Linked DNA regions of Drosophila melanogaster. The protein of the gene in region 1 interacts with the protein of each later gene in a biochemical or structural test. Each region holds a gene or a part of one and is shown on either strand. Other genes may lie near its edges.

Region 1 (15,917 bases):
GCGATCAGCCGAAAATATTTGTATGGCCCAATGATATGGACAAAGCAATTCGAAAGGCGCAGTCGAAGAAATCTAAGATTGAGGCAGGACTATACGGTGTTTACCAATCACCAATCTTGACCCATGTGAATGAAAAATGATTCACGAGCCCAAATTCGGGCATTCATTCATTCATCCATAAATGACGGATATTATCTGGTATGGTACGACTGGTAGACTGGTGCTTATCAACGGCATTATGGGGAAACCTCTATCAACGTCGAAAACAACAAACAATTCAAACGAATTGCGACGGAGCTTTATTATTTTACAATGCTCGGCGAAAGATGATCACCTTTTTTTGTTTGAATAACTCAATTCTTAGAGGGCAGCGCAAGCCGACTGTAAAAAGCGAACAGCAATGGCAATAAAAAGAAACGCAATTGTAAATTTGATAAAATAACCAAATGACAGTGTCAACAGTTCGCTGATTGCACAAGGAGTCAGATGCTAAGCGATAAATAATAGCAGACAAAATAGTCAAATTATTTAAGGGTTCTATGTGCTAGCGCATCAAACAATCAAACAATCAGATAGACCTGATCTCGAATTACCACATTAGTCTAGTGAATATAATTATTGTAAAGTGAAAAATGAAATGAATAAATCGTATTTCCTTAGAAAATAAATGTTTTTTTCCTGCATAAAGCAGGCGTCAGAAATGTATTATCATAGCAAATGTCAACAATTATCTGAGCAAACATGTTGTAGCGACGCAAACAAACAATTTAAAATCGACAATTCTCCGTCAATTTTCTCTCCGTCTCAAAATCTTTGTGCTCACTAACTTCCGAAATTATTAATTCTCTGAGGGATTCACAGACATACCTGCCTCATCGGTGCTTTCGTCATCACAGGTGTTCACGAGTCGGGCGTAACCGCAGTATGTGCCACGCCCACACCGCCCCACTTGGCTACCCAGCAGCCGATCCATAATTTCGATTTATATCTTGAGATCGTTCAATCTATATCAATACTAATATAGCACAAAGTTGTCCTTGAAAAGGCAACATAATTTTTTTTTAGAAAACAACACGAAAAATAACCGATTTTGCACAAAAAAAAAAAAACATTCAATTTTCTATCTCAATTTTGATTAATTCCACCAACCGATTCTCAATGTCGACTAAGTTCCGACTAGCAGGGCCACAGTTTCTTATTTGATTGCTCCAGAAACGCGCATTTGCTGAATATCTCTATTTAAACACATGTGTTATGTAGAAAACTCTCCAAAGGAATTAGTTTTTGTCTTCGAAAGAGCAGCAAAAAAAAAAGAAAAGCAAACGGACTTTTGGTAAGAGTTAGGGAAGTTCCACTGTACGATGCCTTAATATTTTCAAATCAGTAGCACTTTTAATGGTTTCAGGTTGTCGAAGTGGACCCAATTAATTAATTTATTTCCCATAGATCAATTTGCAGTGGGCTCCTAATTCCCGCTGAGTTATCAAAGACAACAAATGACGTTGTCTGTTAACTGGAAACCAAAGATGAGGTGTTAATGCCAATATTGACGCGATTGTTTACCAGGCAGCATGAATGCAGAACCACTGACGTCATAACGAGCACATTGGGTCTTAGAAAGCTTTTGAGACACCTACGCAAAAAGACGCAGCTCATTCTGAGCACCCCGGATATACACATGGGGTAGAATTAATAGTAACAGCAATCAAATATTCGAATTCTATTCCAAACGCATTAAATCAATTGTTAATGTATATATTTCTGCAATTCGCAAGTCAGTTTAGCAGTATATATGTATACACTATACGCATTCTGTTGCTATTTTTTCGAACGCAAGTGTACCCGTGTAAGTGGGCGCGTGTAAGCCCTTGAGCCCGAGATCGAAATGGCCAAAATCCACTCAAAAAGGGTAAACAAAGGCAGCGAAAAAGCAAGATAAATCGAAAATGATTAAACGCTCATGCGCTGGGCACTCAAAAAACCGTTATGCGCCGCTGCCTTTTAAAAAATTATATGAATACAAACAAAAAAAAAAAGGGTGAAAAGCCGACTATGGCAATGAAAATAAATAAACAAACAACAAATGCAACTGCAACTGGAAATGTTTGTAAACAATGCCGTGAAAAATAGGCCCCAATAACATCAAACTAAATGTTACTAGGCTAAGTTATTCAATTCACGATTCATTGGGCAAGTCATAACCTATAGAAGATATCGATTATGTTGCTCAATATGCACCAATGACGTGACTCGACCATACAGCTTGGGTGCGATTAATAGCATAGCTGTATTTCAAATTAATGATATAAATTAATTAATATACATTCGAATTACATATGAATAAAGGTTATTAAAGGGTATTAATTTGTTAAACGACACCCCCCACCCCACTTCTGCTGACAATGCTAGTTAGATGACCGCCGCTGTAGCTTAAATGCAATCGATTAAGCTCCGCATAAACAGCTGACTGCGATGAACCGTTAAAGCCTCGTCATCTGGCAATGGCAATGAAAGTGCAACTGCAAGTGTCATTATAATATTGCAACCGAGCAGCCGATTGCAACAAAAAATAAAACCACACAACAAATAACAACAAGCTAACAAATAGACGCTGGCGTGTTTACAGAAAATAAACAAATGGCACCAAGTTGGGAGTCAAGTGAAGTCGGGCCAACTCAAGCAAGAAGTTAAACGCCATTTCGGCGAAGCAGTACACTGCTTGCACGCTGGCCTTAAACTTTGCGTTTCAGGGCCACGTTAGCAAAACCAATTGTTAGCATAATGCAATTAGTGTAAAAAATCAAACAAACTATAAATTAATACTTAGCATTACATTAATTGCTGCGAAATTCCTCTTTACTGCGTTCTAAAAATAGCGTGCAGCAAATTATGGGAAAATGCAATAAAAGATGTCAAAGCGAAACAAACAAACTAAAATAAACTTAAGTAAAACAAAAGGAAAACGGAGAGAGGCCTCTAGGAATTTGTTTAAAAAAAATTAGTAGCGATTCGAATTACATTTTACAGTGGTGGCTGTGAAATTGCCAATTTCTGGCACTTAATCGTTAGCTTAAAATCGTTAAATATTTTTTATAAATAATATGGCAGTTAGAATTTGCAATTAAATAAATGCATTTTTTGCACTCTGTTAACCCCAAACAGTAAATATAAATATGGAAAGTGTACCCAAGGTGGCCATTCAAATATTAAATTAGCGTTAGTAAATAAGGTTACACTAAATAAATGTCAATTAAACAAGCAAATAAATGAGAGTTTAACTTAAGATATAAAACGGTTAACTTAGCATCGGGGATTAACGTAATTCGGGGTGAAGTGCAAAAATATGACGGTCTTTTGGATAAGGTGTCAAAATTTAGCTTACATATGGGCCGGCGGCGCATGCGGGTCTCATTTTTCTCGCCGCCACTGTGGGCACCGCTACTGTTAAACGGCTGCATCTTGCGACTGAGACAACAACAAGTGGTAAGCGGTATTTTACCGATTCGATTGGCAAAGCAAATACGTGAAAAGAAAAAAGAATCAAAAGAAAAGCAAGAATTTAAGTAAAGCAAAACTATAAAGACAAGGATAATAATTTTGTTGTTAAGGCAGCATTACACTGTAGGGTTCGAGCACCCTGATATTTTTAATGAAATCACTTGAAAGATTTTTCGATACTGAATTTGTCAAGCTATTTATAAAAGAACAACAACGAACTGTGTATTACTGCCCTATTAATATATTTGCGCTTTGCAAACCAGGCACTTCGCAGACAGATGGGTGTTCCTAATAGTTGCGTCCACGACTGTGTGCGGTTCGCTAGAGTGAAGCTAATAAAATAACCGGTTCGTGGCAGCCAAACAAAAAAAAAGAAGATATTTCTCATGCACAATTCACTTTTTTATTTGGCAAATGTTGCTTCGGATTCTCTTGGCAAGCGAAATTCTCTTTGTTTTGTTTGGACTGTATGCTTTACCTCTTACTTCCCCTTTTTATTTCAGCAAAGACGCGACGAGCTAAAATGTTCGAAGGCAACTAAAAGCAGCAAACGGAAATTCTTAGCCGCCGACCGGCAAACAATCGCATCAGAAAAAAAAAACAACAAAAGCAGAGAAGACAACTTTCGAGATGTTCCCAAATTCAGAAACTCACTGTGCTATTTCAAAGATGGTTGGTATTGTTTGTATTTCTACACCATCAAACATTTCATTTCGCATATTTGTGAAATTACGTTAATATAATATTATCACACAGCACAAGATTTTGAAACCACTTATAAAAACAACATTTAGATGTTATAAAATACCATGCAATATCAGATATAAAGCTTTAAAGACCTTTATATTTTGGAAAACAAAGTGATGGTTTTTCGAAAACAGGAACGTCGATTTTTATCACATGAAGAGTTTAAGTCGTTAATTCGTGTTTGAGGGACACATGTCAAGAACCGCGAGCAAGCGAGATGGAGCTAATGGAGCACTTATCTGGGAGCCCGACGAGTCCGGTTCAAGAGACCTATATTTTTGTATTTTCTTTATTTTGTTTTTGGTGATAAGATAGTTGCGGGAACAGGATAGTTGTATAATCGGTATATTGATAAGACGACCGACAATATATTGGCCGAATCATTTAATCAATTAATTGCTGACAAAAACGAACCAAAGTTCGAAGGTCAGCAGACGGCATTGCAGAAATGTCCGTGACATTGACCTCGGCACCTGGAAAATGAAATACCACCCAAAAAAAAAGAACATCATATCTATGTCACCATTTGACCCAGTTAATCGAAAATCGTGGAATTAACGAAAAGGAATCAAAGAAATATTATTTCGTTGGGCCGTGTGTGGGAAAGAGAGGTGGCGCAAACAAGGCGAGAGAGAGACGGGGCGAACACGCGTTCAACAAACTTGATTAACGGTTTATCGATTTGCCATCGCACTCGCACAAGCACGTGCTTTGTTTGTCGCTCCTATTGATTTTTACGGCATTGCTTGGATATGAAATAACCGCACATTTCTACTTCTTCCTTTTGTGCACTCCTTCCAATTTCATAACGTTGTTTATTTGCATGTGTGTATCGCATGTACAAATGTCCATTGTTGTGTGTGGTTGAGTCCACGTGTGTTGTTTTTGTTAATGACTGTGATTTTCATATGTAAAACTCTTTGTTATTATTATTCGATGGAAGGAGGAGGAAAACGAAACAGATGAACATGGCGTAAAGTTGATGAAACACCGAGAGGAAATAGAATTCATAGTCGTTGCGTTTTGCACACTCGCAAGATAACCAACTAACGACATTTACTAACAATAAACAAAAACATAACTTTACACGAGAACACAAAAAACACAAAAAAAAAACAGGAAAACAAAAGGCACACACAGTCACACACTCACATCTCTTCCAGACAACTTTTGTCGCGGTAACAGCGCGAACTGAAAGTTTGCTCCTGGCTTCATTGACTCGCAATTTCGAACTGAGTCTGATGAACAAGAACAACAGTGCGCCGTGTGGAAAGCGGCATTTTCCACCCCCTAAAAAGCGGGCCAGCAACAACAGCAACGACAGTAACAAGAACAATTTGAAGGTAACAGAAACTTTTGGGGATGACACGGAACAGATGATGCCGCTATCGGTGTCATCGATAGACGGCGATAACAGGAGTTTTTTAACCGCTCAGCAATATATTTCAAGTATATCATACACTTGTGTATTTCATTTAGAAAGTATTCAACAAGATCAGATATATTTATTTTGTTGATAAAATCACGAACCAACTCCATTGATTCATTTCCGCACATCACTATTGCCCAATTTCGTTTGTCGGCATCCTTCCAGGCACTGGAAGTTCGTTCTTATACTTTTCGTTCGCATTCTAGTTCGCGGGTTCTCTGAAAGGCTAGATCGCGCCATTCGCTTCAATTCTTCGTGTAACGGTGCTAGGTGCGGATGCCAGTGTTATTTTTAATTGTTAATTTAATTGTTAACTATTTATAAAAATAGAATTTGTACAACAGAAGACGAACAGCAGAACACCGGTAATATCTCGATTCGATTTTAACTGTATTAGTTGAAACATTTATAGTAACGGTAATTTGTCAAGTGACGAAATTAACTAATTAAGCGCAGCATGAGAGGCTTTTAAATCATTAAATTTTAAACAAATATTTAATTTTCATCAGCTTCATCACATTTAATTTTGCTCTTTTGCTTCATTTGCCTTTCTACTGCGCCATCTTGAATTCGCAGGTGCATATTGTCATCTCGCTCTGAAGCCCGGCTTGTATGGAGTCGGTTAATAATTGGAATATATTTGTATTGCAGCAAATTTGCTTTAAAACTATTAAAGTTAAAAAAACTATACAATAGTTAACATAAAATAAGTAATAAAGCTTAGTATGCGCACTTCTTAGTGAAACGACAATAGATAGCAGTTGAAAAGTGATTGTGAAGGTCAAATAGATCGAGGTCAGGGCCCTCTTCTAACTGTTAATTGTGCAATACTTGTATTTCAAAGGGAAAACATGACAAAAAAAAAATGAAATGAATAAAATTTAAGTTTCTCGATTCCAGAGTCGCCATGGACATGCAAGTGCAGCGCCCCATTACGTCAGGCAGCCGGCAGGCCCCGGATCCGTATGATCAGTATCTGGAGAGCCGTGGACTCTACCGTAAGCACACGGCCCGGGACGCCTCCAGTTTGTTCCGTGTGATCGCCGAGCAGATGTACGACACCCAGATGCTGCACTACGAGATTCGGCTAGAGTGCGTCCGCTTCATGACCCTAAAACGACGCATCTTTGAGAAGGTAGGCCTCTAACAATCACACATTTTGTAAAAAAAAAAGAAATAATTTTATTTATATCCCAGGAAATTCCTGGCGATTTCGATAGCTACATGCAGGACATGTCCAAGCCCAAGACATATGGAACCATGACAGAACTACGCGCTATGTCCTGCCTATATCGGTAATTAATCCTTAGTTACTATTTTCTATTAAATTCTACAAATATATATGATTTCTGTACGACTTCCAGCCGCAATGTTATCCTGTATGAGCCCTACAACATGGGCACCAGCGTCGTTTTTAATCGTCGCTATGCGGAAAACTTCCGTGTCTTCTTCAACAATGAGAATCACTTTGATTCGGTTTATGACGTTGAATATATAGAAAGAGCCGCCATTTGTCAATGTACGTAGCCTATTAATATATCCAATTTTGCTTTTTGTATATGTACGTTGCTTTCAGCAATCGCCTTTAAGTTGCTGTACCAGAAGCTTTTCAAATTGCCTGACGTATCCTTTGCTGTGGAGATTATGTTGCATCCACACACCTTCAATTGGGATCGCTTCAATGTGGAGTTCGATGACAAGGGCTATATGGTTCGCATTCATTGCACCGATGGACGAGTTTTTAAGCTTGATCTGCCAGGGGACACAAACTGCATACTGGAAAACTATAAGCTGTGCAATTTCCATAGCACCAATGGAAATCAGAGCATTAATGCTCGAAAGGGAGGCCGGCTGGAGATTAAAAACCAGGAGGAGCGAAAGGCATCCGGCAGCAGTGGCCACGAACCAAACGATCTGTTGCCCATGTGTCCAAACCGATTGGAGTCCTGTGTCCGCCAGCTGCTAGATGATGGTCAGTAGAGGTGGTTTCAAACATCAAATGCTTACATAATACTCTCTTTTTAGGTATCTCTCCGTTTCCCTACAAAGTGGCCAAGTCCATGGACCCCTATATGTATCGTAATATAGAATTTGATTGCTGGAACGATATGCGCAAGGAGGCCAAGCTTTATAATGTCTACATAAATGACTATAACTTTAAGGTAAACTGTGCAGAACATTGGATTATCGTTAGCACACATACACACGCACACCAACACACGTTTCATGTCAACCACCCATCCAAATTAACACCCTTTCATTTTCATCTATACACTGGATACACCTTATACTTTACTATACATGTATGTCTTGCCTTATCCTTCCTCGTCTCGTCGCCGTGTTATTTGTTTTCCAGGTGGGCGCCAAGTGCAAGGTGGAATTGCCGAACGAAACGGAGATGTACACGTGCCACGTTCAAAATATCTCCAAAGATAAGAATTACTGCCACGTCTTTGTTGAGAGGATTGGCAAAGAGATAGTGGTACCTCTTCTTTTTATCTGATTTTCTAGACCCTTGCAGAGAAATGCAAAAATTTCGATTAGAAACGATTATCATATTTAACAATTAGTTAAATTTGTTAAAGTTTAGTTAAAAGTATATTAATTGTGGCCCAATGAACTGGTATATAAGTCTATAAAATAATTGATCTGCAAGGGCTAAAAATGTTCGGTATCCGAAGCTAATTGTAACTATTTCGCTTTAATAGAGAGCTTACTAATATACAAACATATCTGTTGGCTTAGGTCCCGTATGAATCGCTCCATCCCCTGCCGCCAGATGAGTACCGCCCATGGTCGTTGCCATTCCGCTATCATCGCCAGATGCCTCGCTTGCCGTTGCCCAAGTATGCCGGTAAGGCCAACAAGTCTTCCAAATGGAAGAAGAACAAGCTGTTCGAAATGGACCAGTATTTTGAGCACAGCAAGTGTGATTTGATGCCCTACATGCCCGTGGACAATTGCTATCAGGGTGTGCACATTCAGGACGATGAGCAGCGGGATCATAATGATCCTGAACAAAATGACCAGAACCCGACTACGGAGCAGCGGGATCGTGAAGAACCGCAGGCACAGAAGCAACACCAGCGCACGAAGGCATCAAGGGTTCAGCCGCAGAACTCGAGTTCCAGCCAAAACCAGGAGGTTTCGGGTTCGGCTGCCCCGCCACCCACTCAGTATATGAATTACGTGCCAATGATACCGAGTCGTCCTGGGCATTTACCGCCACCTTGGCCTGCATCTCCGATGGCTATTGCCGAGGAGTTTCCGTTCCCCATTTCAGGAACCCCGCATCCACCGCCAACCGAAGGTTGTGTATACATGCCATTCGGTGGTTATGGTCCACCACCACCGGGAGCTGTTGCTTTATCGGGACCGCATCCATTTATGCCGCTTCCTTCTCCACCGCTAAATGTTACCGGAATTGGCGAGCCACGTCGTTCTCTACACCCAAACGGTGAAGATTTGCCCGTGGATATGGTGACTTTGAGATACTTCTACAACATGGGCGTGGATTTGCATTGGCGCATGTCGCACCACACGCCGCCTGATGAACTAGGAATGTTTGGATACCATCAGCAGAACAACACTGATCAACAGGCAGGACGGACTGTAGTCATTGGCGCCACAGAGGACAATTTGACTGCCGTGGAGTCAACACCACCACCTTCGCCAGAGGTGGCAAATGCCACAGAGCAGTCACCGCTTGAGAAAAGTGCCTACGCCAAGCGCAATTTGAATTCGGTTAAGGTGCGCGGCAAACGTCCGGAGCAGCTGCAAGATATTAAGGATTCGCTGGGGCCAGCGGCATTTTTGCCCACTCCAACGCCATCGCCAAGCTCGAATGGCAGTCAGTTTAGTTTCTATACTACTCCATCGCCGCATCATCACCTGATAACACCGCCGAGGTTGCTCCAACCGCCGCCACCGCCACCGATATTCTACCACAAGGCGGGACCACCACAGCTAGGGGGAGCAGCTCAAGGACAGGTAGGAGTGATACATGCACTAACAAATTCAAAATATTCTATAGGCAATCGACACTCGACCATTTTTAGACTCCCTACGCCTGGGGCATGCCAGCTCCGGTGGTGTCCCCCTATGAGGTGATCAACAACTATAACATGGACCCGTCGGCTCAGCCACAACAACAGCAGCCAGCCACCTTGCAACCAGCTCCCTTATCTGTCCAATCTCAGCCGGCAGCTGTCTATGCTGCAACGCGTCATCACTAAACAAAGAAAGAAAAAAAAAAGGGAGCGGGGGCAAAAAACAGATCACTTGAAAGAGAGAGGCCATACAGATCGAAGGCATTACATTCCATTGCAATTAACGGCTTTTAAAATTTAATCTCACTTTTAAATTTGTAGTTAACTTTTTATAGGCCATAAGCGTTGGCGCTCTATCATAAACCATTCAGCTTCTGTACAACAATCGATTGCATAACCTAACGCAAATGTCAACCCAACTTCATTTTAAAAATGTAATTTAACGTAATTTTATGCGAATTTTTTTAAAGTTAGCCGTCACGAAATCAAAGAACCACCTATTTATATGATTTATTTAAAACCCTTCTAACCAAAAATATCTACATACTATCTACTATATATATACATATATATATATATATATATTTATGTGCTCGCTGTTCGGCTAGAGACTCACCTATGTAAAGTGTACCATCAAAAATTAACCATAAATAAAACAAGATTCAACTGCAGCGCAAGAGACAAAATGTACAAAAGACTTTTGCAGGTGCTGCAATTACGTGGTATTCTCGTGTTTCGGCGCGATTTCAGATAGCAAACAAAAGGTGTGGATTGGCTTGGATTACTTTGATTCACCTCGTCACATCACATCGACGCTGATCTTCGAAACGATAAAGAACTCTGATGTAATCCTTTAGTTTCATTGTAAAAGTTTGTTATTATTGTATGTACTGTCTTTATTTGTGTCATAATTTGTTTGTCTATGTTAGTTTTAGAAAACGCTGTTATTTTTGATAAGCAGATAGTTTTTTAATGCATGGGTTTATATTGTAGCATATTACATCAAATTAGTGCATACTAACTAAGAAAAAAAAAACAACAAAAAGTATTTACAACTAAGAAAATTAGATATTAGAAAATTTATAAGGTTCATTAGTTCAATCAATCACGATTACTTTAGTATGTAGTACATTGAAAATGTTTTGAGCTGTCAACATTATCCTGCTAAAACTAACCCATGTTAAAACCATCCAGAATGCTGAAGATAAGTTGAGTTAAGGAGTGCAACGCCTCCATACTGGTTTCCGTTGTCCGTTTAGATAAGGGCTAGTTGGAATAAATTATGAAAATAAGTATCTTAAACAAAAATTACAAAATATGCTAAAGTACTAAAGAACTTGGAAGCTAATAATACGATGGTATCACAGAAATCTTTGTACATAAGTTTAATATTTCAATTCACCAACGTACCTGTATGGTTTGTTTAATTTGAATCGGCCAATAAGCAATATATGTCTCTGTAACAATTTCGGTTATAAGGACTTTCTGTGATACCCTGGACAAAATTTGTTATAGGTATTATTTGTTGTTATTCTATGGTTAACATATCAGTCATTGTTAAAACAATACTAACTTGTCCAGAACAGTAGGCGATTATTGCGAAACACAAACCCATTACAAGGAAGCATAAGTGACTCATTTCGCCTCTGTTGTTGGTTATTTGGTTTTGTTTTTTTTTTTTTTATCACCGAAAAGTGTTCGCAAAAAAAAATATTTGAACTTGAAACCGATTTGTTTTGGCTCGCTTTAATAATTCTGTTTAGTTGGTTATTTTATTAATGCTCTCAATTTATTTCTGCTTACAGACTGAAATCTCTGTGCAAAGGTATCGCATTTTTATGCTGAATTTTCAAACTGCCAAATGGGCGGCACTGGGCGACCTAAATTGCGATTCCACCTGTCATCAGCCGAGCTCTTCTTTGCCTTACCTATCATTATAGCCGATTTTGCCGCCCGTTTGTTATTGAACAATTGCGTGGGATGCCATTGGCATAACGCACAACAATGGGGAAGGACAACCAAACGATGTGTGTAATGACAGCCTGCGTTTCGGATTTATTGTATTTATTATATGCGACACTTGTTGCTGCGAATAAAGTTGCGGGTAAGTCAGTTCTCCCATCATTAAATCGATTCTCATCATATGCACTTTGTGTAACAATAATTATATAATAATATCAATGATATTACTCACTGTCTATGCTATAAGTGTATCAAGTTTAAAATGAGTCGCAAGACTATCAATAACTATCAATTAGAGTATATATCTAATGATAGTTTAATTTAAATATAACTAGCATCTAGATTTCACCCTTCATCGAAAACAACATTCAGCTTGGGTATAATTGTTTTTTTTTTTTTGTTCAAATTTTTTATTTGTTTTGCAAAGAAACCTGAGTGCCACGCCCCTCCTGGGCCGTTGAATGGGTGAGTGGGTGGTATTGGGGTGTGCATGAGTGGGCGTGGGCGTAGGCATGGGCGTTGGTCGATCAGGCTGTTTTTTTTTTTTTTTTTTGTAAAAAAAACATAGTAACTAATCAGCCGGATAAGCGAATGACTAAACCAGCCGCTTCAGTTGATTCCGGAGCCGCAGCAGTCATCCAATCCGTAACTCCTCCGCATCTGTTACCTAATAGGCGGGAGCAGCATAGCCGCCATGTCCGGCTGGACCGGCGCTATAGTGCTGATGGCTTGGAGCGGGACCATAGGGACCCTCACGCTCGCCGGCGATGTTGGCAAGAGCGGACAGACCCTGGTTGCCGCTCTGGAGCAGCTGATAGCCAGCGCTGGCGGCAGCGGAATCAGCTCCCGAAGCGTAGGCGGGCAGAGCACGGCCACCGTCATGGGGTCCAGGACCATGGGGTCCAGCACCGTGTCCACCGTGTCCGTGTCCGCTGTGTCCGTGTCCATGGCCACCGTGTCCATGGCCGTGTCCGTGGGACTGCGAGCCCTGTCCGTAGCCCTGCTTGTTCTCGTTGACAAAGTACTTCTCTGCTGGGGGCTTGACCACATTGACGAACACGGGCTCAACCTTGACGCGACGTGGGTGGTGCTTGACGTAGACCTTGCGGAGAACGATTGCTGGGGGCTTGTGGAGCACCACGGGAGCGGGCTTAACCACCAATGGTGGATGGTTCACCAGCACCTTGGTGGGCGGACGCTTGACAATGATGGGAGCGGGACGATGGATGAGGATCTCGCCCTTGTTCTGCGGGTAGGTGATCGATGAGGTCAGGGTGTTACCCTTGGTGTTCACCGGCTTGTACGGAATGTTCTGGTCGGATCCGTAGCTGCTCTGGCCAGCCTGTGCCACACCGGCGGCATCGGCTCCGGATTCGAGAGCACCAGCACCGGCGTTAGCACCACCGTACTCGCCACCAGCTCCACCGGCACCGCCGGCAGCTGCTGCGGCCGCTGAAGCGGCATCAGCACCGCCATCGGAGGCACCGCTTCCGGACTCGGGTCCATAGCCCTGGGAACTGCCGTAGTTGGCGCTTGCACAGGCCTAAAAGTAAATTGAGGGGGGGGGGGTGGATTAGAATTGGATCGACATATACATATACTTAAAATAAGTCTAGCATCGATAGATAGCTTGATTCCGTTTCAAGTAATTTAAAGGAAAGTCAATTTGCTTTTCATGTACGATTTACATGGCACAAACGAAAGCAGTCAGAATTGATAGACTTGGTTTTCTTGGGATTAATCCTAAGATTTCGAGCTTGAACACTTACGATCAGGCAGGCGGCCAGCGCCCAAATGTAGGTCGATCTCGTCATCTTGTCTCCCAGTTGCAGTTCCAGTTGCTCTTCGGCTTCTGGTGTGCTCCCGCTTGGACTGTCTGCTGTCTTCTGCTGCCCTCCATTGGTGGCCGACTACTTTAAATATGCTCCGGACGCGTCTCCGGCTCCGGGTACGTGACATTTGGATTGATGCCAACTCCGGTGCCGGCTGTTCCGCTCCGGGCCCACGCGATGCGAACGAAACATGGCCAAATGTTGATAGATCGCACGCATCGCTGCCAGCGCATATCACGGCGTCTCTTCCACTTACGTAGAAGCCACAACCCGAAAACCCCACTGCCCACTGCCCAGTTGCCATTGCCCGTTTTACAATAACAACGAACACATTGCCACCGAATCGGAATCAACAGCCGGGCTGTGAATCTTTGCCGCATATCGAGGTCCGAACGTCTGTTCAGATAGCGAAAATAGTTCCGCATTGGCAGACACAAGACTCCGGGAGTCGGAATAAGAGGTAATCCGAGGTGTAAGTGGATAGGGGGAAATGATTAGCCACCCAGCTGTAGTCCTTGAATTTCACACGGATTGCGCAGATTCGATTGTCTTTCTATTGTATTGTATTGTATTGTATTGTATTGTATTGTATTGTATTGTATTTCTTACTATAAATGTGATTAGATTGTTAGAAGAGTGGCTATCTTCACATGACCATTTTTAATTTAGAAAATCCATGTAACTGATTAAACCATCAGTTTAAAGTACCATATAAAAATGTATACTTAATAATTGCCAGATAAAATAAATCTCTAGTTGCAAAGAGATTTGAAGATGAAATATGGATCTTTAGCTATTCCAATTAGGAATTCAAAGGCTTACAAACACCTAAAAAGATTTCCAATTCTTCAATTATTATGTTGTTATGTTTTAAAACAATCTTATGAAACTCTAATATGAATTTGGCGTTTCAAAAGAAAAGGTTTAAATACGTATTTAATGCATTAAAAGTGCTATATTCTTTGTTTAAAAGAAAAGAGGCCGTAAAATTATAGTTGCTCCATTAATTCATAGTTATGTTATTATTTATTATTCATTCCGGAATCAACAATATGTTGATAAAGATGACCTTTTGATCCCATTCTTTGCAATTAAACGATAACTGGAATAAGATAGCTACCATCACAAGAGTGTGAAATAATTTCATGCATGATAATGCTATCCAATATCTTTCGAATTGTATCTCATAAAATGCGTACCATGTTTATGCATATTTATAGAATAGTTAAAATACTTGTATGACCGTAGAGATTTCAATTACAAACTTATTTATACTCGTTCATAATTTTATGTTCATACTTTATACCATTTTCCCCTTTATTATTTATTTTTGAAGAAAACTAGATATAATTTTTTGTTCTCTCATGCATTCGTATATATTTATATATTCATAAATATGTGCTTAATCTGTGTGCTTCATTGCCACTCAGGTAGCCCCTTCCGGTCGAAAATAATTGATGACAAAACGTTTACGTTTCAAGTATTTTTTTTTCATTTATTTGCGCTCAGTAGTTCGGCAAAGAAAAAAAAAAACAAAAATTTAAATTAAACCAGCTGTCGCAGCTGAGGAGCAACCCATGCCCAGGATGAGCACCTTAGTAGTTGGGCTGGCCATAGGGCGCGGGGCTGTTGTACAGTGGAGCCTCGTTGCCGTAGGCATTGCCATCGGCAGAGGAGGCGGCACCGGCGGCGGAGGAAGCAGCTCCGGCACTACCATAACCCTGGGGCTGGCTGTACTCCCTGGGCTGGCTGTAGACGGGTGCAACCACCGGGGCCAGTGGAGCCTCGATCTTCTTGCCGGGCTTGTAGACCTTCACGTAGACGGGGTTGAGGCTCAGCGGAGTGGGCACCTTGTTGATCACCTCCTGTTGGTAGATGACCGAGGGCTTGATCTTGTAGATCACCGGATTGCCGCGCACCACAGTCGGTGGGCCGCTGTTCACATGGGCTGGTGGTGCACCAGGCTGGTGGACAATGATTGGTGGCAGGGGCTGGGTGGCGATCACCTGGTGATTGTTGTGGCCCGATGGCACCAACAGGGAGCGGAACAGATGCTGGTCAACGAACTGTGGCGACACCACCTTGATCTTGCCCTGACGGATATTGCTGGCCAGATTGGTCTCGGCCAGAGATTCGGCAATATCCTCGGAGTTCTTCAGCTTCTGGTAGTTGGGATCGGCATTGAGGGCCTGAAGTTGGGCCTGGACGCGACCCAAACGACGGGCCTCCTCCGGCGTGGGCTGGATCTCGGCCTGTGAGGCGATCTGATTGGCAGCCTGCTGGTTGCCACCAGACGCCACATTCACGTACTCCTCGAGTCCGGCATTGGGACCGGACAGGTACTGTCCATGTCCATGTCCGTGTCCGTGTCCGCCAGCGGGACCATAGTTAGCGCTCACC
Region 2 (15,249 bases), on another chromosome or scaffold:
TGAAATGCTTGTTAACAACGTCGATTGCTTTTGGCCAAGTCAGTCGTCTATATATACCCAGCACCAGCCCCACCCCCAGCCAGAAAGCAAATCCAACTCCACATCCACTTTCAAATCCGAGCTAAAGCCAAAGTCAAATCCAACTGAACCTCCTGCTCTCCCACTTTTTCCTCTTTTTAATCAAAAAGAAGTCGATGCTCCTGACTCCAGACTCCTCCCCCGTGGCAATAACGCCACACATTTGTAATGTTGCTTCTGTTTTTGGCTGAAAGAGGAGCCCAGGAAGCAGCAGAGACAGTAGAGGAACTGCACTAAATGCTCACACTGAGAAATATAATCTGGTAGTCGATAAATAACATTTTAAGTTAATTGAAAGTTGATAAAATGGTAGAAATCAAAATCCAATAGGATTACATATTTATGGTTTTAAGGATATGTAACATTATTTATTTATTTCCAGAACCCTTCCGAGTTTTTTCCGGTGCATCTCTTAGATGCATTTTACAAGTTACTTTAAGGCAATCAATTTGTAGTCGAATCGCGTGGATCGCAAACGGGCGGGCGGGTGATGGGTTGGAAAAACCAATCAAAAGAGCGTTGCGAACGCAAATTGAACGGCAAATGGTTGCAAGATGATATTTCAATACACCAGCTTGCCGGGATCACCTGTGCAGCGGACTTCCAACCCTTTCACTCCCCTTCGGCCATCACTTTTTGGCCATAAATTATGGACGGGCGACGCCTGCGCGTAGTTTTCTTACTTTTTTGCAGTTATGATTATCGCGCCAGGATGGAAGAATGGGGCAGCAGAAGGAAACACATACGTTCCGTTCCTGTGTGTGCAAACAAATGTAAAAAATTTTTAATTGACTTTTGCAGTTTCGCAGTTGCCGGAGCCACCGCCAGTTGCACTTTTTATGGCCCCTCGCGTGTATGGCAGCTTAAAAGTTAATAAAACACGCCCAATGATAACAAGCCGCCAATAACATATATATATATATTGCCCCTGAGGTCTTCATCATCGTTTCGTATTTCCCAACATTGTGAGCTGATCCCCAGATACCAGATCCGCCAGCATCCCAGTCGATCCTCGCCAGGTTACCAGAAGTTTTCGGAGCTTCGAGCTCGTAGAAAAACAATCAATTAGGCCCAAAAGTAGCTTCCAACTCCAAGGGAGCGCCATAAGTTTCCGTCTCCCCCCAAGATCATGATGGTGATGATGGGGCTTCGGATGGTTAGGATGGTCCGGATGGCTGGCATGTTGCCCAGTGGCATCGACACGACTTTGATTCTCTTTCCGCGCCGACTGGCAGGAGTTTTATGGCCTGCTTTGGCGAAATTTATGTTACATTTTTATAGTTCCAGTGTAAATTGACTTTTAAAATGCAAAAATTTATCATAGCAACGGGCTGCAGTATGCAGGGGGAAGTCCCGCGCCAACTTTAATTGCCTGCGCCCCGCAAGACGGTGGCAACTCTGGCGGAAGCTTCGAAAAGTCAAAAGAAAGCTCTGTGAATGGGACGATAAACATCTGCGCGGTTTCAAGAGGAAAACAACCCCCAAAATTGTTCGCCAAGGCTTTATTTATTGGAGAACGTTTAGATACTCTAAATCATAATTAATGATTGTAATATTTTACTAAGAAAACGATATACAACTTTAAAAAAGGAGATTCACAAGCTAGCTTGGCTATTTTAATCAACGTTTGGTCGGGGTCACCAATTGAAAGTCATTACTGAATATAAAGCTATTAAGCCATAAATTTAAAAAAAATATTTGGTTAGTCTAAGAATACTTTGATTTTTGAATTATCCTTACATGTACATATATTGTATAAACCACACGCTTTAGATAGCCAAAAAACTCAACGGCAGAGTATGAAACAAAACACAGTCGTAAAAGCTTTTCGCCGAGTCAAAACATTTTGCGGACCTTGGCACTCAACGTTGTTTTATCCATATAGTTTTTTTGATTAATTCGCTAGTGCAGTTTACGCCCCAAACCACAGGAAAAAGCTCCGGAAAAGTTTGGGTCGCGTGGGTGTTGCCCCTCCACCTTTTCGCGAGGTCTCCAAGTTCAATTGCATGACGAAACAGCCGCGGAACAGTTGCGTCGCTCCTTGATTAGCTGAATAAGCGGGAAAAATCCATAAATTGATTAAGTAAAACTCGGAAAACTAAAGTGAAATGCTGCTGCCAACGGTCAGCGGCCAATCCGCCGCAGGATGCAAATGGAAAAACTGCTGTCGCCGCAGCTGGGAAATGCTGATGGCGCCCGTATCGCCCAAGAACCTCAGGACCACGGCGCTCTTGACGAGCATCTACCAGTTGGTAAGTTCAAACATACATGTATATATAGTAGCGGATTATATAAGAGACTGGAGAATGGATATCTCAGGCGGGGCGCAGCGCACTGGCACGCAGGGAGATCCGGGAATCCCCGAGCAATCCACAATGTGCAGCCGCGGCCCCAAATACAAAAATTACGCACTGGATATGCAAAGCCATACCCCACTGGGCGCGCAAGGAGGCGTCGAAGGCGGCAATGGAACGCTCGCCCCCGCCTATCCCCGGAGAAGTCCAGGGGCGGAGCGAAGGAGACGCTCCTGCGGCGCAATGCGTCCGCACTTGAGTTTCGTGATCGGAAACGTGCCAGGACGAGCACCCTTTTTAAAGCTCTTCTCCTGAAATATATTGGGAGTTGTTGCGAAAGCTCCTAGAACCAGTTGGGAATTGTAGAAGCAGCTTTCTGGCTTCGTTCAGTTTGGTGAAAAATAAGGGTGGTAGCTTCAGCAGATCGCTGGGTTGTTCCGGTTTTCGCAAACACTTTTTGTTAAGTGAGATCCTAAACAGTCGCTTTTCTATATTCCCCAGTTAATCTCCCACTGCGCCCTTTTCCTGGTTCTCCTGGGACTGGCGCATGCCGAACAGATGTGCGAGGTGCTGGAGCTGGACATCTTGGACCAGAAGGACAATGGTTTCTACAACATGTCGCCCTTTCACAACGATCTTCGCCTGCAAACCGCTGCCCAATTGGCCGTCGCCACGGAGAATCTGCTCTACGTGATGGCTGGTATCGCGGGTACCTACGCCCTGAGTGCCATATTCCTGTTTTTCGGAGTCTTCAAAAATCGGCCGGGCCTAATCATACCCTGGCTGGTTGTGGAGTTCCTATTAATGATTGGTTTGGGGGCACTGGTCTTCATGCTGAGGGATACAAAAATCGTGCAATTGCTGGGTGGTCAAGTGCCCTACTGTAAGTTTGGATTTTTAGGCTTAAATTTTGAAGTAAATAATAACGAATTATCTTATATTTCAGTTATCATTTGCTACATCTTGATCTGCATGGATTACTGCAAGTGGTATGTGATGCATAGCTTCTACCAGAGTCTACGCACCATGAATAAGCTTCGAGAGATTGCCACTGTGGCCATACCATGTCCAGCTCCAGGAGCCGTAAGTTGGTATCAATATTTTGAAAACTTTAATAGTAACTTTCTTATACATTAGATACCCTATCGTTTCCAACGCGAGCACATGTATCTGGGCAGCAATGGATATAAGCACATTCTAACCGAGTCTCCCGATGGACAGTGTTAAACATGTACTGAAAGATTGGATATTTTTGGAACTTCCCATCAGGTGTCTTGATTGCAATTGCACTGCAAATTCTGTATTGCAAAACAGAGTGTGATATGGTTTTGGTAGAGATACTATTTTATATAGCCAACGGACATGGAGCGGCTTATTAGAAATGCAGAATCGGTTCAAAGCGTTCGGCGATTAAACTATAAACTATTTTTGTGTAGAAATAGCTCCCAAAGCACCTTAAAAAATAAAAAAAATAATAATAATATTTGGTCACTAACGCGACTCGAACTCGGAACTTCGAAGCGAAGGTCGCACTCTCTAACCCCTAGGCTACGGCAGCGAAACTCTCGGGATAGCCGAGATTGATTAAGCCCCAAAATCTTGAAACGAAAAACTTGTCTTAAATAAATTGGCGTTCATACAAATATGTATTGTAGCAACGAATTTTTTAAAGCTTAGTTTCTCAGTAGATTTACCACTACTTAACTATAATATGCCTTAAATTCTGTTGACTAGCAATATTTTAGGTATTTCTATTTTGTGGCACAGAACGAATATCAAATAAAAGTGCAAAATTGTAACATATCTAATGAACGTGTTTTTTATTATTTCCACACTTACTAATTTAATGTACATCAAGTTAGAAAAATGTTTGGAATATTCAGTTTTGGGTGCTTTTATTATTTGGCCTCAGCTACAGATGCACATTATCTAATAATATCTTTCTTGTCTTAGGATTATTTGTTCCACTAGCCTTTCCGGCCCTTTAGCTTCATAATTGGCGGTGGCAAAGTGGTTCCTACAGTGGTGGTGCTCAGAGTGCTGGCTCCCATTAGACTCATATCGTTATCCAGGCTGTCCATTACAAAGTCCACTACGGTTATATTGTTAGCGCCTTCAGAATCCCCCTTATCTGTGGGGATACTGATCTGAAACTGCAGCAAAACCACCAGATAAGTGACCATTGTGGTTAAGAGTCCTTTAAAGAGAGTCCTGTTCACATCAAAAAAGCCACCGCAGTTGATGGTCGATGGATTCATTTCGGTGGCTCGCAAAAACATATTTATCTCCGTCTGGGCATCCGAGTTCATCCAGTTAAGCTCCACCATGAGTAGTTTCTTCTGGAAATTGGTTCGCACATTAACCGAGGCATAATGTGCCTCATCGCAAATATAGAAGAGCAGTCCTATGTTCCACAAAGCCGTGATAGTCAGTCCTATGTCCTTGATGCCAAATCCCTCGGAGAGTTGCGACATTAGTCCATAAATCGAAAGGGTAATGATGAAGAACAAGTAGAGGCTCATGAAAACAAAGGTGTAGCACAGGGCATTTCCAGTATCACGGGTCAACTTGCTCAGTCGTAGCCACAGAACACGGTAGTCTGCCACCATGGCAGCGGGTCCAATGTGTTTCAGTGCCTTCTGGAACCGCTCCGCCAGAAGATGAGCCGTAATGCTCATGGCCTCGCAGATGAGGAACCACCAGGCACCCAGCATTGCAGTCAAGTTGTCCAGGATGCAGTAGGGCACCACCTGGTTAATGTTCAAATCCGACATGGTGACGTGCGTGATGACCACCGATAAAACCGAGAGAATTGGCAGCACGATGGCTATGTACACCGCCTTCTGTCGCAATTTCAGAGGCAAACTGTGCCCGGATATCTGGTAGTACAACACCTCAAAGTCATCCCAATCATTGAAGAGCTTTGCTATCTTCCTGGCCTCGTACCACAATATTGGTATAATCATAATGGGCAGGATGTTGACCAGAAAGAGGTATGCAATAACCGCCTCCTCGAAGGGTCCACTCAGGGAGCGCACAATGTGGATGCGGTTGTTGGCCACATAGCCTACATAGCACTGTAAAGCGGTTTTGGGTTACATAATGGTATCCATAGTCAATTTTGAAAAATGTTATGCAAACACCACACTCACCGCCAGGAGCACAAAGAAAACCACCGAGTAAATAAAGGAGGCGGAGTTCATTTCGAACTTGGCACGAGCAGGACCATGTCGCACGATGGGTAATACTCCAATAATCCTCAAGAACCAATTGATGGGATCTATGTTTCGGTAGAAAACACTCTGAAAGCAGCGAAATTCAGTTTTACAAAAATGGTTTTAACAGCGTAGCAATCCACAAACCGGCTTAAATTCCGGATTATTGGACGCCGTGCTGTCCGAGCTCTTTTTCCTATCCAACGGAGGAGCTTCGTAATCCGCATCCAATCGCTCCGCCAATCCAATGGAGTACTTGCGGACCCCGTACAAGTATGCCTGGGCATTAGCACTGTTCAGCGGTTTTGCATTGAGGAACACCGCGTCACCCTTCTTGCGTCGATAGTAGTTGGCCATTCCGGAGAGACTGTGTCCGGAATTTCCTTGTCCGTGGCCTTTTACCACTTTTTCGCCAGACGGACGCATTAGCCATGCACCTGCACACGCCCCCTTATCGACCACGCCCTCTGTTGACTTAGAGCCGGAGTTTTAGTTTCCTGTTGATGTGCGTTGTTTGTCTTTTGAATGAATTAACCTTAGCCCGGTGTCCCAATTTCGAATTTGTGTCAATGGCGCGCATGTGGCAATTTACAACACTGAAACCGGGCTGCCAGGCTACCGATTTGGTATCTAAATGGATCTAGTCCGGTCACACTGGTGGGTGTGGGTGCGAAAGATAAATAAATAAATATGTTGAAAATGGACAGGGAAAAGTTGATTGTGCCCAATCAAATTGGCTATCTGATACTAAAGGAAGATGGAGCAGTTCTGGAGTCCGGCGGAGATCTGAAGAACGATGAGCGCAGTGCAAATGTGATAATGGGATTACTAAATCTCACAGAGACGTGCGTTTTTAAACAAAGGATGAAGGAATTTTGTAATAATTACGCCTATATTGTAGCATCGACGAGTCCTTCATGCCGAGCAGCAGCTGCGAGAGGATCACCATCGATTACGAGCATCACTACTACAGCATCTGCATGTCCAACCGTAGAATATACATCATTAAGATCAGCAAATCGCAGAATGGCGTCACCACGACCACGAGCTCCTCCTCGTCGAACAGCGTGTATAACGATGCCAGCGATTCCGGGGCAGTGCTGGCTTGAAATCCGTCGTCGGATGTCCGACCCACTTGCAGATTCTGTTGGCAAGCAACCGGACAAAGACCCCACAATTGGCGCACTCCCATTATTTACCTAATCCTCCTCTTTATTTGTCAAAAAATACATCATCTGTGAGCTCTTGCTCGAAAATGCGCCTCGCTTCCTGGGTGACGTCCAGCAAGGTGGCCTTGCTATTGCACAGGATCACATAGTACTGCCTGTAGTTACAGCGCCGCTTCACAATCCAATAGTCATTGGTGGTCTTGACCTGAACTTCCTCGGCAGGAGCACTCTCCATTTCCGCCTTGCCACTGCCATTGGCCAAGTCCGCAATGATACTAAGCACATTGCGGGGCAGCCCTTGGGGCAGGTGCCTCTGAAAGTTCGTGTGGTGCTGCAGGCTTTGTTCGTTAATGAACAAGTACTTCGGCGCCGTTTCGCTGTTCCCGCTGGAGTTGTCCTGGCCTGCAGCACCCACCGCCTCCTTTGTCAACTCGCTGGATATGTCCCGGGCCAACGAAGTCAGTTGGGGAGCCATGTAGGCATGGAGATCGTCGTAGAGATCTTGTTTCGGCGCAACCTGGTCAGCTGACAAATGTGGAATGTTTCAAGTTGATTATTTTGGCTATTTAGTTCTAATCCTTAACATACCATTCAGAAACAGACACAGAGTTATGTGCAAAGCGCGGTAGATGAGCAAGTAGTAGGGTTTGGCCTCCTTGTCCAGTGTCACATAGACCTTCATTGGATGATCTTCCTCATTCACAGCGTCATGTTCATCTCCTGCGACCTTCTGACGACTTCTTACGAATCCGCCCACCTGGCATTCACTTATGCTTCGCTTTAGTGAAGGAGAAACTGCAATGGTGGAACTGCTGGCCTCGACTTTCAGCACGTGTTGCACGACATACGAGTGCACGCAGTGCAGATCCTCCGGGCTAAGTTTTCCGCCACAAAGGACCTGCTCCTGGTAGAGCATTATGCTCTCCTTGATGTCGGGGAAGGTCTCGCACAGGGTGCCAAAGTTTTGGGCCCGCAAGAAGAGCGTTTTATCCAATGGCAGATACTGAATGGAATGCAGCATATCGATGATATCACATTGCGCGGGATCCCTCAGGTTGGTCAGATGCTGATCATAGAACTGGAGTAGCTTCTGGCAGAGCAGTTCCCTACGCTTATCCGGATTAGGTTCTTCACTTCCGCAGGAGGAGAAACATCCGTTTTGAAAGCGAAACATTTGATAGCATTGTCTAAGTATTGCTCTATAAATCCTGTCGGAGATCTCGGCACCCCGATAATCGGCCACCTCCACGCCCTCCTTTAAGCGCACCTCCTTGGGAACATTCAGGACCAGTACTAACCAATACCCTGGCTCGGGTTGGTAGAAGAGTTGTGTGGTTTTCTGGGTATGCAAGGCCTGGCAATCATCTTCAGATGTAAAAGTTCTGCAAGTACAGCAAACTCTGTATTATTACCCACTTCCCTCTATGTAAAAAGTTCCATAAATACCCAGTGAACCTTATGATGGCCTCACTTAGTCCCACATCTTTGATTTTCGTATTTAATTCAATGTCATTTGGATGGTAAAACAAAACCTTCTTGTGTTCCTGAAAAAAATTACTCATTAGGGGCGTTTCTTAGCCTTAAAATTGATTTGCCAACCTCGCCTTCAACTTGGCCAAAAGTCGAGTTAAAAATGTAAAAGCTGCGTAACGTAATTTCTACGCGTTGCAATAATTTAGCCATTTCTTTCCGCACAGAATTAAAAGTATTTATTTTGGCCAAAGGTAAATAATGAAAAGGTACTAACGCGTCCGTGTTTGCCAACCAGGGTTACATTTTACCAAATGTAGTGTGCTAGTATATACCAAACGTTTCCAGTACCAAATTAAAAAAAATACCACACAATTAATAAGCGAATTTAAAGCTTTTTCATTTATTTTGGAATTTAATAGATTTAATAAAATTTATGTCATGGCGTTTACTGAAATTTAGAATTTTTCTGATGTCTTCCCTTTTGACAATGCAGAAAGGAAAGTGGCCATCCATAATCTCCTCATATTTATTTAGAGTGAAGTGCGTGCTAAATTGTGTTTATTTGGAAATGTATTTAGTTTAAGCCTGGATTCCTCCACGGAGACGGAGCACCAAGTGAAGGGTCGATTCCTTCTGGATGTTGTAATCGGACAGGGTGCGTCCATCCTCAAGCTGCTTGCCGGCGAAGATCAGACGCTGCTGATCTGGGGGAATTCCCTCCTTGTCTTGGATCTTAGCCTTAACATTCTCAATGGTGTCCGAGGGCTCTACCTCGAGGGTGATGGTCTTTCCGGTCAAAGTCTTCACGAAGATCTGCATACCACCACGGAGACGAAGGACCAAGTGAAGGGTGGACTCCTTCTGGATGTTGTAATCGGACAGGGTGCGTCCATCCTCAAGCTGCTTGCCGGCGAAGATCAGACGCTGCTGATCTGGGGGAATTCCCTCCTTGTCTTGGATCTTAGCCTTAACATTCTCAATGGTGTCCGAAGGCTCTACCTCGAGGGTGATGGTCTTTCCGGTCAAAGTCTTCACGAAGATCTGCATACCACCACGGAGACGAAGGACCAAGTGAAGGGTGGACTCCTTCTGGATGTTGTAATCGGACAGGGTGCGTCCATCCTCAAGCTGCTTGCCGGCGAAGATCAGACGCTGCTGATCTGGGGGAATTCCCTCCTTGTCTTGGATCTTAGCCTTAACATTCTCAATTGTGTCCGATGGCTCTACCTCGAGGGTGATGGTCTTTCCGGTCAAAGTCTTCACGAAGATCTGCATACCACCACGAAGACGAAGGACCAAGTGAAGGGTGGACTCCTTCTGGATGTTGTAATCGGACAGGGTGCGTCCATCCTCAAGCTGCTTGCCGGCGAAGATCAGACGCTGCTGATCTGGGGGAATTCCCTCCTTGTCTTGGATCTTAGCCTTAACATTCTCAATGGTGTCCGAAGGCTCTACCTCGAGGGTGATGGTCTTTCCGGTCAAAGTCTTCACGAAGATCTGCATACCACCACGGAGACGAAGGACCAAGTGAAGGGTGGACTCCTTCTGGATGTTGTAATCGGACAGGGTGCGTCCATCCTCAAGCTGCTTGCCGGCGAAGATCAGACGCTGCTGATCTGGGGGGATTCCCTCCTTATCCTGAATCTTGGCCTTCACATTCTCAATGGTGTCCGATGGCTCTACCTCGAGGGTGATGGTCTTTCCGGTCAAAGTCTTCACGAAGATCTGCATACCACCACGGAGACGAAGGACCAAGTGAAGGGTGGACTCCTTCTGGATGTTGTAATCGGACAGGGTGCGTCCATCCTCAAGCTGCTTGCCGGCGAAGATCAGACGCTGCTGATCTGGGGGAATTCCCTCCTTGTCTTGGATCTTAGCCTTAACATTCTCAATTGTGTCCGATGGCTCTACCTCGAGGGTGATGGTCTTTCCGGTCAAAGTCTTCACGAAGATCTGCATACCACCACGAAGACGAAGGACCAAGTGAAGGGTGGACTCCTTCTGAATGTTGTAATCGGACAGGGTGCGTCCATCCTCAAGCTGCTTGCCAGCGAAGATCAGACGCTGCTGATCTGGGGGAATTCCCTCCTTGTCTTGGATCTTAGCCTTAACATTCTCAATGGTGTCCGAAGGCTCTACCTCGAGGGTGATGGTCTTTCCGGTCAAAGTCTTCACGAAGATCTGCATACCACCACGGAGACGAAGGACCAAGTGAAGGGTGGACTCCTTCTGGATGTTGTAATCGGACAGGGTGCGTCCATCCTCAAGCTGCTTGCCGGCGAAGATCAGACGCTGCTGATCTGGGGGAATTCCCTCCTTGTCTTGGATCTTAGCCTTAACATTCTCAATTGTGTCCGATGGCTCTACCTCGAGGGTGATGGTCTTTCCGGTCAAAGTCTTCACGAAGATCTGCATACCACCACGGAGACGAAGGACCAAGTGAAGGGTGGACTCCTTCTGGATGTTGTAATCGGACAGGGTGCGTCCATCCTCAAGCTGCTTGCCAGCGAAGATCAGACGCTGCTGATCTGGGGGGATTCCCTCCTTATCCTGAATCTTGGCCTTCACATTCTCAATGGTGTCCGATGGCTCTACCTCGAGGGTGATGGTCTTTCCGGTCAAAGTCTTCACGAAGATCTGCATACCACCACGGAGACGAAGGACCAAGTGAAGGGTGGACTCCTTCTGAATGTTGTAATCGGACAGGGTGCGTCCGTCTTCCAGTTGCTTGCCGGCGAAGATCAGACGCTGCTGATCTGGGGGAATTCCTTCCTTGTCTTGGATCTTAGCCTTAACATTCTCAATGGTGTCCGAGGGCTCTACCTCGAGGGTGATGGTCTTTCCGGTCAAAGTCTTCACAAAGATCTGCATTTTGGATTATTCTGCGGGAAGAAAATAGAGATGTGGAAAATTAGTACGAAATCAGACGAGTTTCGTTGAAATTACAAAACTATTGAAACTAACTTTCTGGCTGGGGAATAAAAATGGGAAACTTATTTATCGACGCCAACTTTGTTGAGAAACCCCTATTAACCCTCTACGAATATTGGAACAAAGGAAAGCGAAGAAACAGGGAACAAAGGGTAGTTGAGAAACCTTTGTTCCGTTGCTTCGTCATCGTTTTCGTGTTGCGAGTGTGTGCATGTATGTATACACAGCTGAAATGCATGCATACACATTATTTTGTGTGTATATGGTGACGTCACAACTACAAGCAATAAGAAATTTTCAGACGTGGCTTTGTTTAAGCAACCTACTCTATTTCAGCTAAAAATAAGTGGATTTCGTTGGTAAAATACTTCAATTAACTAAACAACTAACTAATAACATGCACACAAATGCTCGAGTGCGTATGTGATTTCTCGAATTTTCAAATACGTCACTGCGAATTTCACAATTTGCCAATAAATCTTGGCGAAAATCAACACGTAAGTTTTATTTATAGATTTGTTTGCGTTTTGATGCCAATTCATTGGGAAAACGAGATGCGTGGCTGCCAATTTCTTATTTTGTAATTACGTAGAGCGTTGAATAAAAAAAAATGGCCGAACAAAGACCTTGAAATGCAGTTTTTCTTGAAATTACTCAACGTCTTGTTGCTCTTATTACTAATTGGTAACAGCGAGTTAAAAACTTACGTTTCTTGTGACTTTCGAGAATGTTCTTTTAATTGTACTTTAATCACCAACAATTAAGTATAAATTTTTCGCTGATTGCGCTTTACTTTCTGCTTGTACTTGCTGCTGCAAATGTCAATTGGTTTTGAAGGCGACCGTTCGCGAACGCTGTTTATATACCTTCGGTGTCCGTTGAAAATCACTAAAAAATACCGTAGTGTTCGTAACACTTTAGTACAGAGAAAAAAAATTGTGCCGAAATGTTTTTGATACGTACGAATACCTTGTATTAAAATTTTTTATGATTTCTATGTATCACTTTTTTTTTGTGTTTTTCGTTTAAACTCACCACAGTACAAAACAATAAAATATTTTTAAGACAATTTCAAATTGAGACCTTTCTCGTACTGACTTGACCGGCTGAATGAGGATTTCTACCTAGACGACCTACTTCTTACCATGACATTGAATGCAATGCCACCTTTGATCTAAACTTACAAAAGTCCAAGGCTTGTTAGGATTGGTGTTTTGGAATTTAAGACCCTTGTTAGTTTGCTTTTGAAATAGCACTGTCTTCTCTACCGGCTATAATTTTGAAACTCGCAGCTTGACTGGAAATTTAAAAAGTAATTCTGTGTAGGTAAAGGGTGTTTTAAAAGTGTGATGTGTTGAGCGTTGCGGCAACGACTGCTATTTATGTATATATTTTCAAAACTTATTGTTTTTGAAGTGTTTTAAATGGAGCTATCTGGCAACGCTGCGCATAATCTTACACAAGCTTTTCTTAATCCATTTTTAAGTAAAATTTGTTTATACTCTTTCGGCAAATAATTGTTAAATCGCTTTAAGTGGGCTTACATCTGGATAAGTAATGAAAACCTGGATAATATATTAATACATATAATCCACTGTGCTTTCCCCGTGTGTGGCCATATACCTAAAAAAGTTTATTTTCGCAGAGCCCCGCACGGTCACACTACGGTTCGGCGATTTTCGATTTTGGACAGTACTGATTGCAAGCGCACCGAAAGCAAAATGGAGCTGGAGATTTTGAACGCGAAGAACAGCAAGCCGTACGGCAAGGTGAAGGTGCCCTCCGGCGCCACGCCCATCGGCGATCTGCGCGCCCTAATTCACAAGACCCTGAAGCAGACCCCACACGCGAATCGCCAGTCGCTTCGTCTGGAACTGAAGGGCAAAAGCCTAAAGGATACGGACACATTGGAATCCCTGTCGCTGCGTTCCGGCGACAAGATCTATGTGAAGGATCTGGGTCCCCAGATTGGCTGGAAGACCGTTTTCCTGGCCGAGTACGCCGGCCCACTGATTGTATACTTGATTTTCTACTTCCGACCGGAGTTGGTGTACGGCAAAGCTGCCAGTCTGCCGATTTCCCTAACCACCCAGTGAGTTTGTAGAAAGTAGTCTCTGAAGTCTTTCGATTGTCGACCTAATCGACCTCGTCGCTTATGCAAACTAAAACGCAACGGCTCTGCATAATTATCCCCGAACTTTGGATGGTGGTTCACCCAGTAACCCGCTTTCTTTTCTCTTTTGCCCCAGCATTGCCGCCGGCTGCTATACGGTCCACTATGTGAAGCGTCTGCTGGAGACGATTTTCGTGCACCGCTTCTCGCACGCCACCATGCCGCTGAGGAATCTCTTCAAGAACTGCACATACTACTGGGGATTCACCGCCTATGTGTCCTACCACGTGAACCATCCGCAGTTCACCTCGCCCTGCATGTGCACCGTTTGGGGAGCTCTTGGGGCATTCGCTGTATGTATCCGCGGCCATGGTTTATGGATCTGGGTTATATGTTTTCGTAATCTACCGGTTTCCTTTGCTTTTGTTCGAAACATTTGTTTCTTAATACCAAAGGTGTAGCTTTTTGTTAAAATTGGTCAAGCAATTTGTAATGTTATATGTGCTATATATTTGGGATCCATTAATCATATTTGCAGACCCACAAACTAAGCCGCACACTTTTCACTTTCAGCTCTGCGAACTAGGAAACTTTTCGGTGCACATTGCCCTGCGCAACCTGCGTCCGCCGGGAACAAAAGTGCGCAAGATTCCGGTGGCCGATGGAAATCCCCTCACCAAGCTGTTCGAGTAAGTGGTCACTAAAAAAACCCACAGCTCAAGTTTATTAATTCGCGCTCTTCGAACTGCAGCTTGGTTTCTTGCCCCAACTACACCTATGAGATCGGTGCCTGGGTTTCATTCTCTGTGCTGACTTCTTGCCTGGCTGCCTATCTGTTCGCCTTTGCCGGAGCCTTCCAGATGACCATTTGGGCCTTGGCCAAGCATCGCAACTACAAGAAGGAGTTTAAGGACTACCCTCGCCAGCGCCGCTCCATCTTCCCCTTCGTCCTGTAGGTTGGATGTGGGTATCCCCATGACGCATTCGCTGTATTACCTATTCCACATTATACATTTACACATTTGGCTAGCGTTTAACAGGGTAGTTGTCTAGTGAACTTTGTGCTTTCGTTGATTTAAAGCAAATACAAATTGGAGAAGCGTACATTTGGCGTGTTTTCGTCGCTTTTTGGACTTTGATCGATCGTATGGGAAGTTCGACGAAGCGCGTGTAATCAGTAATAGTTTATTTGGGGCTTTCAAAGGTGTGCCAGGTGCTTACCTTGCTAAAAATAAGTGGCCACCTTGGGTCATTTATTTTTAACACTTTTATTTCAGAATGAAACACCTTTTTTATAGCTTTAGTAAACCAATAATGCATTTTTATTGAACAAACATTTTGAAACAACGCGCCATCTGGAGCTGCCACACTGCTGAACTCCGTACCGTTTGGCATCTCCAGCGAAGCTAAGTTGGCTGCGGCTGATGATTTTGTGTTTACATTTTGCCGGCAAATCGAAAATTGGATTTAGAGGCCCTAAATTAACCATGAATCTGTTCGAGGAGCTGGACACCTTGGACCCCTCCTTCAAACTAGAGCCTCCCCGCATCGAGACGCCCACGGCGCACAAGATTACCGTGTTGATATTGCTCAAACAGTATGTGATTGTAGGTGCACCCACTTATTTACTCCGTGAAAACCAACTTCTAACATTTATCAATTTTTAAAGAACAAAAAAAACTGTTTGGATACTGGGATATCCATGCGCACCCAGCGACGGCGCATGTTCTATATGCTGGTATTCAAGCTCATTCAGGAGCAGGACAAGAGTTACAATGAGCTACATAGTTTGTTGACCACGGGGAAATACAAACTGGATACTCTGATGCTGGAATCCTTCGAAAAAGCCATGTCCGAGTTTTGTGCGGGCAGCATTGAGGCTTTGTTTGACTTCTCGGAGATCCAGAACATCGACGAGATCCTAAACGAAAACTACGGCATTAGCCAGTTCAGCATGGTGGGCGTTTATGTGCGCA

Evidence for each region.
Region 2: of the proteins of otu (region 1) and Ubi-p63E, one has a biochemical effect on the other in vitro, tested with the Drosophila melanogaster proteins (one study listed by BioGRID).

What each region holds. Positions count from the first base shown.
Region 1 is NC_004354.4:8,479,496-8,495,412, reverse strand, and holds otu (ovarian tumor), read left to right. Parts: upstream 1-5,877; 5' UTR 5,878-6,039; exon of another isoform or gene 6,040-6,065; intron 6,066-6,290; exon of another isoform or gene 6,291-6,469; intron 6,470-6,560; 5' UTR 6,561-6,581; coding exon 6,582-6,809; intron 6,810-6,871; coding exon 6,872-6,969; intron 6,970-7,038; coding exon 7,039-7,193; intron 7,194-7,250; coding exon 7,251-7,646; intron 7,647-7,699; coding exon 7,700-7,836; intron 7,837-8,030; coding exon 8,031-8,156; intron 8,157-8,419; coding exon 8,420-9,664; intron 9,665-9,732; coding exon 9,733-9,909; 3' UTR 9,910-10,405; downstream 10,406-15,917. Other genes in the region: Cp38 (chorion protein 38), read right to left, coding at 12,353-13,228, 13,455-13,499; Cp36 (chorion protein 36), read right to left, coding at 15,113-15,917. UniProt on the Drosophila melanogaster protein: Catalytic component of a deubiquitinase complex consisting of bam and otu. The complex deubiquitinates K63-linked polyubiquitinated proteins; this antagonizes the ubiquitination activity of Traf6 and regulates the IMD immune signaling pathway.
Region 2 is NT_037436.4:3,890,660-3,905,908, forward strand, and holds Ubi-p63E (Ubiquitin-63E), read right to left. Parts: upstream 12,526-15,249; 5' UTR 12,345-12,525; intron 12,262-12,344; exon of another isoform or gene 12,196-12,261; intron 12,049-12,195; exon of another isoform or gene 11,868-12,048; intron 11,392-11,867; exon of another isoform or gene 11,194-11,391; intron 11,112-11,193; 5' UTR 11,101-11,111; coding exon 8,809-11,100; 3' UTR 8,772-8,808; downstream 1-8,771. Other genes in the region: Fie (fire exit), read left to right, coding at 2,187-2,330, 2,874-3,255, 3,319-3,455, 3,510-3,599; Gr63a (gustatory receptor 63a), read right to left, coding at 4,340-5,449, 5,525-5,674, 5,735-5,944; Lamtor4 (late endosomal/lysosomal adaptor, MAPK and MTOR activator 4), read left to right, coding at 6,278-6,432, 6,489-6,696; Ccz1 (Caffeine, calcium, zinc sensitivity 1), read right to left, coding at 6,800-7,281, 7,345-8,138, 8,203-8,300, 8,356-8,439; Sc2, read left to right, coding at 12,882-13,252, 13,410-13,626, 13,847-13,962, 14,025-14,229; ida (imaginal discs arrested), read left to right, coding at 14,698-14,880, 14,943-15,249.